Linked DNA regions of Ovis aries. The protein of the gene in region 1 purifies or fractionates together with the protein of each later gene. This does not show direct contact. Links are inferred from orthologs where the notes say so. Each region holds a gene or a part of one and is shown in the gene's direction. Other genes may lie near its edges.

Region 1 (3,745 bases):
TCTCTTGGGAAACTCCACGTGGGTCAGATTTTAGACAGATTTGGAAGGAAATGAGGAAGAATTCTTTACACGGAATCAATTGGGAGTGCTTTGAGGGATCCAGAGAAACTCGGTGGGAAACTCAGAGACATTCAGAGACAGACTTAGAGAGGCTGCGCCTAGGTCAGCAGTGGAGATCGGCCCCGCTGGGTCTCCCACCTCCCCCTGCTTCCCCATCCAGCTTCCCAGTGTCCTGAACTCCAGGTCTATCTAAGCACACGGGGGTGGGGGGCGAGAGCGGGTCAGCGCCGAGCTGCCGGGTCAGCTCTGAGGCCTGAAGGGGAAGGGAGGGGGAGGGGCGCTCCAGGGCTGGGGGAGGGGGAGGGCTCATCCATTTCTCCCTTGACAGGTGGTTTGTGTCTCTGATTGGCCAGCGCTGCCAGGCTCACACCTCCCTCCCCCCCAACTCTCTGGAATGTATAATTATCTGCACGGGGGGTGGGGGTGGTGTATAAGTGTGTGTGTGTGTGTGTGTGTGTGTGTGTGTGAGCAGTCACGTGGCTTTAAAACTGCACCCCCCCGCCATATGCCCCCCACCTGTATGCTGCTTTGGGGACCCCCGCCTAGTTCTTAAAGTGCAGGATCCCAAATTCCCGGGTACTCAAGACTTGAAGGGTTGACGGCCCCAATCTCCAGATGTGCGTGTGGGGAGGGGGTGTCAAACCTCTAGGTTCTGAGAAGGGACACCCCAGAGGTGTCAGAGACCGCCGTGGTGGGGGAGGGCCAGAGCTGGAGCCGGAGGGAAAAGGAGGGGAAAGGCGATGGAGGGGAGGGGAAGGGAGGGGAGGGGGGCTGCCCGCGGGGGGTTGGGTCATTGTCTTTTAGAATTTGGGAGCCTTTGAAAAGCCGTGGGCCCTCCCACCGCTATTGTGCTGGGGAAGATGTAGCTGCCTCTTCCCCGAGCCACCCCTTTGCCTCCGGACTTCTCTGGGGCCAGCAGCCGCCCAAGCGAGGGCCCGGGGCCGCGGGCTCAGCAGACTACCATGGGCTCTGTGTCAAACCAGCAGTTCGCAGGTTCGACCTCGGGACTTACTAGGGACACCTTAGGCGACAGGGGCGCCCCGAAGCCACATGAAAGAGAGGTGGTGAAGTGTCCCCCAGGCTAGCCCAAGGACTCCAAGTCTGTGCGGCCTCCTGCTTCTGGGGGCCATCTCTGGAGCCAGGAACCCTGGTGTCCCAGTGGCGAGCAAGCTGAAGGTCCGGGGGCGGGGGGAGAGAAGAGGAGGGGCCTGTCTGGCCGCATGTCCCCGGGCAACGTGTTGTGGAAAGAAAAGCAAAACTTTCGGGGCACCGCTGGCCTCAGTTTAAGCTGGGGGAGCGCGGGAGGCGGCCGGGACAGGTATTTTCTCGCCGGCTGCTCGGTAGCTGCAGCCTCCTGGTTGTCCAGCCTCGGGCTGGACCCTCGGGTCTCCTTGCCGGCTCTCTGCTGGGGGTCCTCCAATTCCGTGGCCCCCCAGCTGAGCGCCTTCCCAATCTCCAGGTGGCTGCGCTAAGGCGCCGGAGGAAGCGCCGGAGGAGGCGCCGGAGGACGCGGCCCGCGCGGCGGAGGAGCCGCAGCTGCTGCACGGTGCCGGCATCTGTAAGTGGTTCAACGTGCGCATGGGGTTCGGCTTCCTGTCCATGACCGCCCGCGCAGGGGTCGCGCTCGACCCCCCGGTGGATGTCTTTGTGCACCAGGTGAGAGCGATTCTGGTAACTTTGCCGCAGGAACGGGATGTTGGCGCGCGTATCCGAGAGTGGGCGGACGGACTCGGCTGTTGGGTTTGAGGGGAGATCCAGGGCCCTCATTGTGCGTTCCCGTCTTTGCCGAGGAACCCCAGTTCTGAGTCCCTATTAACTCCAACGGGACGAGAGCGGGGGAAGAGCCGATGATTAACACCCCCACCCCCTTCCGGGAACCCCTCTGGTTTACCACGTGTCTGTTACCTCTTTCCCCTGGGCAGGGGGCAGGGGGCAGGGAGGTGATCCCATGTGGCAGAACTAAGGTTGTATTGTGCTTGCCAGTGGGGGGAGGGCGAGCGGGCCGGCCAGGGAAGCACATGCCCGGTCAGAGCAGAGCCCTGAGCGCCCGCGCGTTTCAGCATCTTGTGAATGGAGGTCCCGGCCTGAAGGAAGGGAGGAAGACGGCTTCGGGACCCAACGGCGGAAAGCCGAGAAGTCTGCCGGGTCCTCACACCCAGGCGGTCACCAGGCCCTGGGGTTCTGGGTGGGTTTGGTAGATCCTTGAAGGATCTATTTGGGGGGCTTGGAAGTTCCGCAAGAGCACAGTGTCAGGCACATGGATCACTAGCGGGGCTCTTACTGTCTATTTCCTATTAGGAAAGAAAAGGCAACGAGGCCGGTCTTCGACTCCTGAGCCAGCCGGGGCGGGAGTTAGGTCGCAACCCCAAGTTCTCAGTTAAAGCAAGGCAGCACGGGGTGGGGTTGGGGGGTGAAATTCAGTGTCGCAGGGCAGGGGGTGGAGAAAGGCTAGCCTCAGGACCTATTCTCCTCAGCTTGGCATTTATGGCCCTAGATAGCCATTGATTGCCGTCCTAACATTCCCAGCCTCAAACAAGGAACCAGAGACTTCGTCTTCCCCCCTCCCTGGCCACCCCTTCCCGAGTATCTTGGAAGCCTCGCATAACCACTGTGTAGAGGAAGTTGTTGCTTGCGCTCCCTCCATCTTTGGAGGTTTGGGGCTGGACCTGAGAAGAAATTGCTAATCTCAGACCCAGGAGGTTGACACCCAGGCCGGGCATGGAGGGGTTACTTTGGGGAGGTTGGCTTTAGGAGCAGTGGGGGAGGGGAAAGGAGGATGTGGGGATTAAGGGTTGGAGCCTGAGGGATGGTATTCTGGAGGGGGAGGGGTGGAGAGGGAGATGCTGGGTAGACTGTTTGGAGGGAAACAGCGGGGAAGTCCCCACATGGCCCTCAGTGAGGACGCGGAATGGGGAAACATGGGAGAGAGAGGACGCAAGGAGATGGGGATCCACCAGTTAACGCTGGGATCACCGGGCTCCTAGAACATCTGCCAGAAGGGTCAGCTGCAGAATGCTTGGCTGCCCCCTGGCTTCCCCTGCTTCGGCGACCCCCAGCTTTACCCCCTTCCCTTCCTACAACTAATTCTGGCTGGTGGCTAGCCCCACTTCCTGTCTCATTTACATATGTGAATGATAACCCACAGGAAGTAATTGTGGGCGAAAGAAGGGAATTGGCCTCTTTAGATCTATTAAATCACTTTATTACAGGAACCAGCTTTGAATGGCCCTCCTCAGCAGGGTGGCCAGCTCCCCATTTATCTGGTCACAAAGAGATTAAAATCTCTCCCTGTCTGGAGACAACTGGACATCTTCCCCAACTTTGGAAAGCTTGGAATGAAAGAGTCAGACCCAACATTTTCTTGCCTCCCTTCCAAAGGCTGCCACATAGGGAAAGATGGAGGGGAAGGTAGTCCCTCTGAGCTTCTTTGGTGATATCCAACTCCCAAAGAAGGTTTTCCTGAGCAAATGGATCTGTGCCTCAGCCCACTTAACCTTTATAAAGGATCAAAAGCAGTTGGGAAATACGGGATGGCATAAAAGAAAATGGGGACTAGCCTTCAGATTTGGGGAGTGGAGCCCACACTATGCTGTTTCACATGGGTTTGCTGGGAGATAACCTGGACTTGGGGTCTTGGGATGTCCAGGGACATTCCACAGTTGAATAAGTTATCAGGAGGAGTTGA
Region 2 (3,745 bases), on another chromosome or scaffold:
AACATGCTTTGTTTATACAGTAGCATGTTTTCATTTCAAAGGTCCTGTAAAACATGTGCAACTTATATCCAACTAACCAGAGGTACTACTAGTTAAAATTTTCTCTATATTAATATGGATTTGCCTTAAGAAAGTTGATCTTTCAAATCTAATTGTATATAACAAACAAGTTAGTGGGTGATTGTTACAAAGGATTCCCCCTTGACTAATAATGATTTCACTTAAAAAGTTTATAGCTTTACGAAAATGAAATACATAGTCATTTGTTCTTCAATATTGTTCATTAGGAATCCCAATGAAGACACACATTAGATGAAATATTACCTTTTTATTGTATAGTGTACTGTATACAAGAGGTGCTCAATAAACTTTCTGGCTTTTAAACTAACTTTATAGTGTTCACTGAGCTGAATACTTCATACTAGTGGTATCAAACCACAGTGATTTTATCTTGAGTAGTTTATTGTAATCAATTACTTCCAAATATCTTTATCAAGGCGGTAAAATTGTAACGTGACGATCAAATTGTAAATAAATTTCCGATCAAATTGTAAATAAACTTCCGGGCAGAAAACTTGGTGAGTAGTGATGATTTCTGGAGCGCGCTATGGTAGACACACTTCTCAAATTTATGCAGCCGTATATTTACGATTTGAAAAAATCTTAAGAAATTTCAAAACATACTTTTCCATCTAGGATTTTTTCGCAACTGCAGGAACGGATTTAAATAATAGATAGACTCTACCTTTCCAGGCACTAGAGGGGCTGTGACTCGATGGAGAGGTGGGCGGCGCTCAGCAGGCTCCCAGGCAATTCTTGCACCTGCCTCGTCGCGCCTGTGCTTGTAACCATAGCAATTACTGCCCAGGAAGAGGTTCAGAAATGTCTGATTTGCAGCTCCATTCTATCTTAAAGCAAAATCGCCCTCATTTGCTATGTTACTACGTTCCCTTTTCCTCTGCATCTCATCGCTTGTCCAGGGTTGTAGAAGGCCGGAGATTCTTTTACCTCACAAAGGTTATGAGAGGAATAGCAAACTGAAAAGTAACTATGGAGACCACCCACTCCGTGTAAAATGACGAAGGGGCACACGGAGACGATAATGGGAACGCGCCTACAGACTTCGAAAGCTATTAACATTGTTTCGGCCGTTAAGGCGGTTGGCGGCAACTCTCCGCCCAGCGGCGGTTGCGTCGCAGCCCGAAGCGTGACTCGGCGCACGCTCTCTTTCGGCTCCTCGGCTCGACGAGCCAGCTACGCGGCGGGGGCGCGGGGAACTACCGCTCCCGTGAGGCTCTGCGCGGCCTTGGGTACTTTACAACAGAGCTCGGTCGGAGGGGCCTGCGGAGAAGCGCCGGGAAGTGCCGCTTCCGGCATGTTCAGCTCTGGACGAAGAATGGCCGAGAAGTGGAGGGTGGGGGAGAGACTCCAATGCCCAGCGGGCCGTGCGCGGGCGGCGCTTGCGCGATACGCGGACGGGGGGGCGGTCGGGCCATTTAAATGTGTGTTTGTGGGTGAAATGGCTGCGCAGGTCGGAGCGGTGCGCGTAGTACGGGCGGTGGCGGCGCAGGAGGAGGCGGACAAAGACGGGAAGGAGAAACCCCACGCTGGGGTCTCGCCGCGGGGAGTTAAGCGGCAGCGCCGAGCGAGCAGCGGGGGGTCTCAGGAGAAGAGAGGGCGGCCGAGCCAGGACCCCCCTCTCGCTCCCCCTCACCGGCGGCGTCGCAGCCGCCAACATCCCGGGCCGCTGCCGCCAACGAATGCAGCCCCAACCGTCCCAGGCCCTGTTGAGCCTCTGCTCCTGCCGCCTCCGCCGCCACCTTCGCTGGCACCCGCCGGACCCGCTGTCGCTGCCCCGCTCCCGGCCCCGGGCACCTCGGCCCTCTTCACCTTCTCGCCCCTGACGGTGAGCGCAGCCGGGCCCAAGCATAAGGGCCACAAGGAGCGGCACAAGCACCATCACCACCGCGGCTCTGATGGTGACCCCGGCCCCTGCGCTCCCGGAGAGCTCAAGCACAAGGACAAGCAGGAAAACGGCGAGAGGACAGGAGGGGTGCCTCTCCTCAAGGCCCCCAAGAGAGGTGAGAGCAGCCGAACTGCCCCGAGCTCGGGCTCTATCTGGGTCTCTCTCTGTTTCGATATCCCGCCCCTTTAATCCTGAAAGACGCCTGCCCTCCGCTTACCTCCTGCTGCTCTACTCCCCTAAGCCCACTGGGGTGGACCCTGGATTTCCGTCCGTCGACACGGTCTGACCTACTTGAAGCTTCTTGCTTCGAGGCCGAGCTGTCAGTTACTAACCCCCTTACCATTCCCCCCTCCCGGAGCCTTTACGTTTGTTTTCAAAATCGTCAGGGTTTCCGCGCCGCGCGATCCTTGGCATGGGATAGTATGTGGGGTATTAAAAACTGTCTGAAGTAAAGGCTTGTCGCTAAAACACCCCCCCCCCCGTTTTCCTTGATGGAAAGCTCCACAAAATTAACGAGTATGGTTTGGGGCTATTAAGGAGTTTGAATTTTTACCGAGATTAATTAGCTCGACTCACAGGTTGCCTTAGCTTCTGAAAGATGAGATATCAAACACAGTTTATCTTGTGTGTGTTTTCTTTTTAATGTGGAGGTAAAAATCATTTTTAATTTTCAGGAAAGGGTTTTCTCTCCTCTTTGATCCTTGAAAATAGTACCAGCCGAGCCTCTGAAAAGTGGAAATGTTCAGTAGGCGATAGTAGAGACAAGAATTCCAGTTGCATTTTAATTAACCTGGCACAACAAATTGAGAATTTATTTCCAGTAGACTTACTAAAGTCAAGAATATAATCCAGAAGATGTAGGACTCTACTAAGTGAGTGTGGGTTCTAGAGAAATTAGATTCACAAAAATTGCTGTTTTCCTATTCGAAAGTACCTGTAGCATTTATTTTCATTCTCTTTGGTAGAGGGAGGCGGGGGCGCGGATAAGAATTTTGACTATGCCATGTATTTGTACTTTGTAGGTGATTTTATGTAATTTCTTAGCATTATCTTCTGAAGAGTTTAAAATACTTCTGTGTTCTTAGTACTGGGGCAGTTGAGTTATGTGTTAATGAACTAGTCTTTCAGTCTCAGGTTGGGTGAGTTTTGGCTTTCTTACACATATTTAAATGGTCTTAACCTAGGGCTACTTAGTTTTGTGATGGTGCAGTTTGTTGCAGATTACTGCTCAGTAAGTTTTTATTGAACTGAATTAAATTTTTCTTCCTTTGTTGGTATCTGAGTCTTATTCTGAGGAATAGAACTTGTGCCAGATGGACAGGAGTGCCAGTTTCCACCACCAGTATACAATAATCTTGCTCTGTTTTATTTTTACCTTTATTTTTCACTTTTTCATTTCATATGTGTATGTATTTTTGTGGGTTTTAATTGTATAGAGCCAGAGGGAATCTCAGAGATCATCCAAATCAAATTTGTATTGTAGAAGAATGAAAACCCAGGCCTAAAGTAGCGAAGAGACTTGTCTAATCTAGTCACGGTTAATTAGTAACAAGTAAAAAATCATTGGCATAATAGAGAGTAGAACCTAGATCTCCTGAATCCTAGTTCAAGCTTCATTGTCCAGCTGCATGTGTTGCTTTCTCATACTGCTATTCATTTTTTCCAGTTCTTTGCTTACCTTTTCCCTGTTCTTTGGCATCAGAATGGCAGTAACCAGTTCCATTTAGAATTTCTGACATCGCCTCCTTTTATGGGGGGAAGCAGCAAATGCATGTATAA

What was found. The genes of interacting proteins can lie anywhere in the genome.
Region 2: the proteins of LIN28A (region 1) and RSBN1 purify together in Homo sapiens (co-immunoprecipitation; 3 studies listed by BioGRID and IntAct, with this or other methods). This does not show direct contact. The link is inferred for Ovis aries from reciprocal best matches to the Homo sapiens genes LIN28A and RSBN1.

What each region holds. Positions count from the first base shown.
Region 1 is NC_056055.1:240,443,280-240,447,024, reverse strand, and holds the start of LIN28A (protein lin-28 homolog A), read left to right. Parts: upstream 1-944; 5' UTR 945-1,022; coding exon 1,023-1,053; intron 1,054-1,519; coding exon 1,520-1,716; intron 1,717-3,745. UniProt on the Homo sapiens protein: RNA-binding protein that inhibits processing of pre-let-7 miRNAs and regulates translation of mRNAs that control developmental timing, pluripotency and metabolism.
Region 2 is NC_056054.1:91,120,566-91,124,310, reverse strand, and holds the start of RSBN1 (lysine-specific demethylase 9), read left to right. Parts: upstream 1-1,312; 5' UTR 1,313-1,375; coding exon 1,376-2,081; intron 2,082-3,745. UniProt on the Homo sapiens protein: Histone demethylase that specifically demethylates dimethylated 'Lys-20' of histone H4 (H4K20me2), thereby modulating chromosome architecture.